2 linked regions of the Oryctolagus cuniculus genome follow. The protein of the gene in region 1 binds, or shares a complex with, the protein of each later gene. Links are inferred from orthologs where the notes say so. Each region holds a gene or a part of one and is shown on either strand. Other genes may lie near its edges.

Region 1 (3,500 bases):
ACTTGCCTCGGCTTCGATCTCATCATACAGGAACTGCTTTTTAAACTTCGTCAGGGCATAGTAGGCACTGTCGTTGTACAGGTCCAAAGGGTAGAGGACGTACCTGCAGGGGGACACGGAGAGCCAGCAGCTTGGTGAGGGCGTCTCGCAAGGCAGCCAGGTGGCCCCTTACTCAGAGACAGAGGGCGGAGGAGAGAGGGCACAAGTTCAGGGCTGGGAGGAGAGTTTCCAGTGCCTCCACCACTTAGAAATGACTTACTCTACAGGCTGCCCGGAAATCCAAAGCCCCAGTGGCTAAGACAAGCAGGGCCTGAGCTGAAGTCTGGCACTAAGACAAATCAGGTGGCAGGGAAGGGCAGCAGCTGCCTGACCCAAAAGAGGGCTTATTTCCCAAGCAGCGCTGATTTGCGGCTGATGAAACACAGGATGGCCAGGTGGGCTGGGAGGACGCTCCCGGATCTTTCTGCAGCCAGACCTGGTGTGTCCTAACCCCTGGTGGCACACCCCACCTGACCTACAGTCAGCTCAGACCTTCCTTCTGCAAAGGATGAGCTCACTGGAAAGCCACCTTCCACCTGCATCCCAGGAACCTCCTTACAGGTCCAATCCTGCCTCTTACTCCATCATGGAAGGTTCTTTGGTTTCCAGGATATGGTCTGTTAGAATCCAAGGCATGGACATCTCAATGGGGAACTGGATTCGCCGGCCCATAGTTAACTCCAGGAAGAATTCTCGGAACCAGAGCTGAGAGAGGTCGCAACATTGCTGGAGAGCTTCTGGAAGTGTAGGGAGAGAGCCTTGGGTTATAGGCAGCACACAAAAAATCACAGTTCTTGATTTTCTTCCTGTTATTGTTATCCTCACTCTGCTAAGTATGCAGCAGGTACCTCACACATACTGAGTAGCACATCCTGTGCCCTTGTACTTCAGACAAGACTAATATTTGCCTGGAGAGCTGCATCTGTTAAGCTTTAGAGATGTGTGGTGGAAGTGGCGGTGGTGTTTGAGGACTTTAGATGCCCCCAGATTTCCATCACCCCCTACAGAGCCATCGTGAAAACATGATTTAAGTGTACAACACACACCTTTAAGAGAAGTCGCCATGCACCCACTTCCAGCTGGGCTGTGGCTCCTTGACCCCGGCTGTGTGGTTCAGAGGCCTTGAAGGCCCTTCCTAGGCAACTCTCTGATGGACAAGTTCTGACTGGTTGTTGAAGTGAGTCAAGCTCTTCAATGCCAAGAGACACAGGACAACCGCACGTCCCTAGGACACTGGTCTGCCACCTGTCCTATAGGATGTGCACCCTACTAGCAGAGGACGGGTAGAGCACAGGGGCTGGGCTGCAGCCTGCCAGGCTCTTCTGTGGGGAGAGTGGGCACTGCTCAACTCCCAGCTGCGGCTTAGCAGCCAAAGGCCAGTGAACGCCTCGTGTGTTTCCACGTTTGCAATCCCGTTTCTGACTCTGCTCCACCAAAGACGTCCTGATAAATCCGCCACAAATGCGCCCTGGACAGCTGCTGAGCTGACCACGTCAGAAGAGGTGAACTGGGCCTGGTCCTCCTCCCCAGCTCCCGCAGTCCACCAGGAAGTGGGGATCCTCCCTTGCAGGCAGACTGTGCCACTGCCGGCCCAAGGGGCTCAGCCACGCGGGAGGCAGGAGCCCCCGCCTCTGCCCTGGGCTCTGCAGCTCACCACTGATGTTGAGCAGGTGTGTGAAGAAGAAGGACTGTTTGTGGAAGTCCTCGATGGCCAGGACGATGGGCCCGTCCAGGCTGCTTCGCAGGGTCTTCTTGGAGCCACTTTTATCTGCGATGAGCGATTCAAGCATCGTCCGCACCATGTACAGCTTGAAGGCAAAGGAAGACGCGGTTAGGGGTCAGCCGCCATCCTGGGCCAAGCTTGCTTTGCGCTGTATTTGTTTTCTTTCTGCTCTTAAAAACAATGTCTTGAGAAGGCACCATGTGAGGCAGAGAAGCGAATTTGCAACTGTGAAAACCTTCAGGAGAGAGACGGGCCACCCCGGGAAGGAGCTCTGCCCAGAACTCTGAGACATTCCTGGGTGGGTGGATCTGGCCACCACCGGTGGTAGTTAAGAGGCCCAGGGAGAGGTTCCTGCCGGCCCTGCTCAGCCAAGGGCACAGGCTTCAGAGGAGAACCTCATCCTATGTCACTCTCGGCCTTCCCAGACAGCCACAGTGGCGTCGTGGGTGGGGCACTGGACTAGGAGTCAAAAGACCTGGGTTCAAGGCCAGGCACTGCCTCTGACTTGCTGTGTGACCTTAGGCAACAAAGCACCCACTCTGGACCTCAGTGGTATTACATACTGTGAGGGGTTGGACCAGGTGTTCTCTCCCTCCAGGCCCTTGCAGCTCTAACCTTCTGCGGAAGTGTGAAATGGGCTAAGATCCGAAAGAGCCCCCCTCCCCTCCCACAGCTCAGAGTTCTGATCCTCTGCATTTTGCAGCCATCACAGGAGGGAAGGCGCCCTCTGGTGGCGAGCGTGCAACGGTGCAGCCTGAAGAAACCCTGGGTGCAAAGTGGGCTCACGTCGGTACTTACAAAGGAGGCTACAGGACAATTAACTCCTGCTTACTGGGAGCCCTAAGCGCCAAGGGCGTGAGTGCGGTGGGACTGTTCGTTCTCTCTGCTAATCTAGATCTTTCCACACCATCTGTCTCTGAATCTGAGGCTGGAAGGGGCCTTGAGGAGTCAGGCTAGTCCATTCCCGCTGCCTCCTGGAGAGCAGTACCCAAGCCAACCCCGCCAGGCGGTGTTATACCAGGGATCGGCAGCCTCTTCGGCCCTGTGTGCCACCAGTGGGGTGAAACAAAGCCCTCGGGGACCACTGGCAGGCCTAAGACACAGATAGGAGAGAAGGAAGAGGGGATGGGAGGGCAGGAGAGACAGGGAGGAGGGAGAGAGAGAAAGAGAGAGAGAGAAAAGCAAGAGGTATTGCATACGGTGGGAAAGCCATCGCGACTGCTAGGGGCCGCCGCCGAGCCGCTCCAGCCTCCCAGCAACCACGCTCACCTGGGCTCCCTCGCCTTCTCTGGGCTCTTCCCCACCACATGGCCGGGCCTGCAGGGCCAGTGCAGCCAGAGACACGCGGGACACCGTCCCTGCGCGCGCTTCCCTTCCCGCACCCCTGCTGCTGGCGGCACCTTCTCCTCCGGGAGAGCCGAGAGGCCCTCTCCTAGCCACCACCTGGGGGCCCCAGAGAACGGAGCTGTCGAGCCCCGTGTGCTGCTGCGTGCGGCTGCTTCCGCCAGACTCTTAACTGTCTGAAAACCTGGTTGCATCCTTAAGAGGGTGAACGCTTTCCCCAACTTCTGTAACCGTACACGTTATTTCCTGGAAGAAACCGCACTGCAGCTACTCCCCATGTCTATCGGGCTACTCCCACGGCTGTAGCGGAGCCCTGCGGGGGAGTCAGGAGACCTGGGTTCTTGTCCCCCCTCCACGTGGGACGCACCGTGTGACTTGGACAAGTCACTTCCCT
Region 2 (4,097 bases), on another chromosome or scaffold:
CTGAGGTGGGGTCAGGCTTCGGGAGACCACAGCGGCTCAGAGGCCTGGCAGATCCTTGGTCTGTGTGTGGCTCATAAATTAAAAACAAAAACACAGGGGTGGGAGGCCGGCATTCAGCCCATGCCCCAGCTCGGGCGACTGGGTTCCTGCCATGCACATGACACCCCTGGGCCGGGTTCCCCGCTCAAAGCTCGGCGTGGGCACTCGAGGACTTCAGCAGATGCGGGCCCTGTCTCCCCCTCCTCGCCCCTCTTCCCCTCGACCTCTTAAAGGGGGCAGTGGCTCCTCTTTTAACCCATGCTGCCTTAGGGGAGAGCAGGTCTCTTCGCTCCCTGGGACAGGCAGCTAGGGGGACCACAGCCTCACCTGGCTGGGGCAGCGCGGGCCGGGTGTATTATTGCTTTAGGAAATTGTGTGACTACAGGGGAGCTCGGACAGGCCTCCTGCCGTTCTCAGGGTCCAGGGAGACGTGGACAGTCAGCGGGACAGGGTTCACCTGCCGGCGACGACCCTGCGGGTCCCGTGAGAATCAGCTGCAGACACATCTCTACAGGCGTCCAGGAATCAAAGGGCTGTGCGCACTGGGGTCTTCCCCGTGACTGCCAGAAACACGGATCCCTCCGCTTTTTTTTTTCCTTTTTATCAAAGGCATTTCTGCATACCAGAAAATACTCCTTGAGACAAAGGTAAAATTGCACGTTATTCCACCGCCTTAACAAGCCCCGCACTGGTTTGGGGTTACACTCGTCCCCACCTATCAGACATGATTTTTGCCTAGTGGCAGTTATTAAAAATGTGCATCGTTTTCCCCCTCGGTTTCTCCAGTGCGCCCCGTTCCCGTTGCCAGGTGCTCCTAGTTAGCATCTAAAGGACAGTATAGTATTTTATTATCGCCTCGGCCGGCTGCAGCAGATCAGGGTACAGAGCGCATCTCTGCCTCGAGTGGTCTGTGTCCGTAATTTTCAAAAGCGCTGGGTTACGTAACCGCTCCGTTACAGAGTTCCTCCTGAGCGGCCCGGGCTCGCCCCCGCCGCCGCCGAGTACGATCAGGCTCTGTTCCCTCGGCGAACGCGGCGTATCGCTGCGGCCACCTGGGCGGACGCGAGGGAAGCCCACGCGGCCCCTAACGCCCACAGCGGCCCGCCGGACGTGGGCGTGCGGCGCCCTGCGCAGGCGCACAGCGCTCCTCCCCGAGCCGCCGCTTTGCTTTCCGCGGCGTGGGCGCCGGGTGCAAACGCAGGCGCGGACGTGACGCTGCGCAGGCGCATCACGAAGCCCGTGGAGTCGTGCGCGCCCGGGGCGGGTTGGGCCTGGGGGCGCAGGCGCACTGGCTGCCTGTGGGGGGGCGGGTGTCGCGGCGCCTGCGCAGCCACTCTTCCTTCGGCGGCCGCCATGGCGGGGCAAGAGGATCCGGTGCAGCGGGAGATTCACCAGGACTGGGCGAACCGGGAGTACATTGAGGTCATCACCAGCAGCATCAAGAAAATCGCGGACTTTCTCAATTCGTTCGGTCCGTGGGCGAGCCGGGGTGGCTGGGCGGTGGGGGGCCCTCCGCGGCGGCCCGGCGGGGACCCTGAGGGGGCGCTTGCGGCCGCGTTCCGGGGTTCGCTTCCTGCTTCAGGCCCCACCTTCCCGCGTCTCCCTGGCCCTCGGGCAGCGCCTGGCCGGCCAGGCGGCCCCGTCCACCCGCGCGGCGTCCGCTTCCATTGCGCCCCCTCGCTGCTCGGGGGGTCTGCTCCGCGCGCTCCGGCGGGCCCCCCGTGGGCTGGGGTCGGGGCCGGGAGGTCGCCGGAGGTGGCGCGCCGTGGGCCCGGCTCGCGCGGCCGAGACAGCCTTGCAGGAATCCGGGCGCGGCCTGCCCGAGAGCCCGTGAGCGTTCCCTCTGCCGCCCCTCGCCCCGGCCGGCCAGCGCGGGGTGCGGAGGGCAAGAGTGGCCTGTTTCCTCGAAGGGTTCTTCTGTCTGCTCGTTGAGCAACGTGAAGCCCTTCCGGTTAAACGGGAGAAACCTGCGTGCACGTGTGTCATTGCAGAAGCGTTTAGAACGAGTCAGTTCCCCCCGCCCGCCCCCAGCTTCCATCCGCTGGCTCGCTCCCTAGATGGCCGCAGTGGCCAGGCCTAAGCCAGGAGCTTTGTCCGGGTCTCCCACGCGGGTGCAGGGGCCCAAGCGCTTGGCCATCCTCCACTGCTTTCCCAGGCCATTAGGGAGGTGGATGGGAAGTGGAGCAGCCGGGACGCGAACCAGCGCCCGTATGGGATGCCGCCCCGCGGTGGCAGCCCTGGATGAATTATTTTCTAGGTGGTGAGGCGAGAGCTGAGCGAGGAGCCGGCTCCGAGGTTGGGGGAGGGCACGGGAGGACCATTTGCCTCCCTCAGAGCTCTTGTCTTGGTCACACTTTCTAAGGATACTTCTGTTGCATTTGTAAGGCGGGGAGGTCATCATCTTCTGGTTAGGGCCGGAACAGGCTGGAAGCGGGGCCAGGCACTCGGCCTGTGGCTCTCACGCGTGACAGGAACCCCTGCTCGCTCCCGGGGTGTGCGTTAAAGGGGAACTGGGGTGGGAGTGGCGTGGGGCCCCAGCCCCGCAGCCGGTGCGGTGGCGTCGCAGTCCCGCCCTGAGCAGGGTCTGACTGAAGCCGAGGCCGGGACAGCGTGGAGGAGGGGACCGTGCGGAGGTGTGGGGGCATGGCGAGGCCCTCCCTCCGGAGGCTGGGGCTGCAGGCGCTGTTCCTGGGAGGACGGGCCAGGCGTGGGTGTCCGTGGTGTGTGTGAAGGGCGTGAGGTGCTGCAGAGGCTGGTGGGAAACAGTGAAGTGAAAGGGACGTAAGTGAAGCAGTGTCTTGGAAAAAATAAATGGCAAGACTGGTTTTAGTGAACTGACAACATGTGGGAAATACCGACTGACTCGCCCGGCTCCTCTGGGTTTCCTCAGAATTTGTAAAGTTCTGTACAAGTTGCTTCAGTATGATGTTTCATTATTCTCACAGTTGGTTCTCCTCTTTCCCAGATAACTGAAATGTTAAGGGTTCTTCATAGCATTTTTTCCCCCAAAGATTTATTTATTTATTTGAAAGAGAGAGAGAGAGGTCTTCCATCCTCTAGTTCAGTCCCCACATGGCCATGACGGCTAGAGCTGCGCCAATCCGAAGCCAGGAGCCAGGAGCTTCTTCCGGGTCTCCCATGTGGGTGCAGGGGCCCAAGCACTTGGGTCGTCTTGCACTGCTTTCCCAGGCCACAGCGGAGAGCTGGATGGGAAGTGGGTGGGATGCTGGCGCCGCAGGCAGCGGTTTTCACCCACTGCATGATGGTTCCGGCCCCTTCACAGCATTCTTCACGCAAAACCTTTGTTAGAGAAGGACTACGTGGCAGAAACCAAAATATTCCATGCAGGGGACCGGTCAGGTTGATAGGTGACAGGATCCTGGCTTTGAGACTTCGGAGGGCAGTAGTTGGAAAGATCACTGACCTGGGACGTTCTAAGTTGGTCTGAAAAAGCAGAATGAAAATACTTGGTTCATACGGTTGTGCTTAATAACTGACACGCACCCACCGAGTACTCATCCAGGTTAAGGTCAGTTCAGGCGCCCGAGCTTCGGACATAGCAAGCTGGCTGGGGCGGCTTTTCCAGTGTGGACGTGTCTAGCCCCTCAGTCCTCCAGCTGGGGTCTAGGCAGTGTGGTAAGTTCACCTCTGAGCACAGAGTCGTATCGTGTATCTGTCTTGAACCCTAGTCCCACCAAGTTGGCTGGGTCTTGGGGCTGACTGAAATGGAGGCGTGATGGAGGATGTGCAGGGGCACAGTGTTGCTTTCTTGCCGTCTGCGCTCTGGCGGGGTCACATCTGCTCAGTTAGAGGAGGGATTTGCTGTTCTGTTTGGGATTTCCACCAGGGCCGAGGCCGACGAAATGGACATGCAGAATTTTAATCTTCAGGAGCCAGAAAGAAATAGCTTCTCATGGCTGTTGTCCTCCACTGAAATGATGATGGTGGCCGGATGTTTGGTGTCGTTTTTGAAAATGTTAGAGAATGAGTTTAGTACTGAAGAGTTAGAAATAAGCACAGTGTTACGATGGGTGCAGGGCTGAGCGCCATGGCACCGC

What was found. Proteins that work in one complex are often made in the same cells at the same time.
Region 2: CYFIP2 (region 1) and BRK1 share a complex: the UniProt entries of both Homo sapiens proteins name them as parts of the WAVE1 complex. The link is inferred for Oryctolagus cuniculus from reciprocal best matches to the Homo sapiens genes CYFIP2 and BRK1.

The regions. Positions count from the first base shown.
Region 1 is NC_091437.1:44,298,350-44,301,849, reverse strand, and holds part of CYFIP2 (cytoplasmic FMR1-interacting protein 2), read right to left. Parts: intron 2,856-3,500; coding exon 2,781-2,855; intron 1,848-2,780; coding exon 1,694-1,847; intron 777-1,693; coding exon 620-776; intron 104-619; coding exon 7-103; intron 1-6. UniProt on the Homo sapiens protein: Involved in T-cell adhesion and p53/TP53-dependent induction of apoptosis. Does not bind RNA. As component of the WAVE1 complex, required for BDNF-NTRK2 endocytic trafficking and signaling from early endosomes.
Region 2 is NC_091441.1:116,687,069-116,691,165, reverse strand, and holds the start of BRK1 (protein BRICK1), read left to right. Parts: upstream 1-1,297; 5' UTR 1,298-1,392; coding exon 1,393-1,510; intron 1,511-4,097. UniProt on the Homo sapiens protein: Involved in regulation of actin and microtubule organization. Part of a WAVE complex that activates the Arp2/3 complex. As component of the WAVE1 complex, required for BDNF-NTRK2 endocytic trafficking and signaling from early endosomes.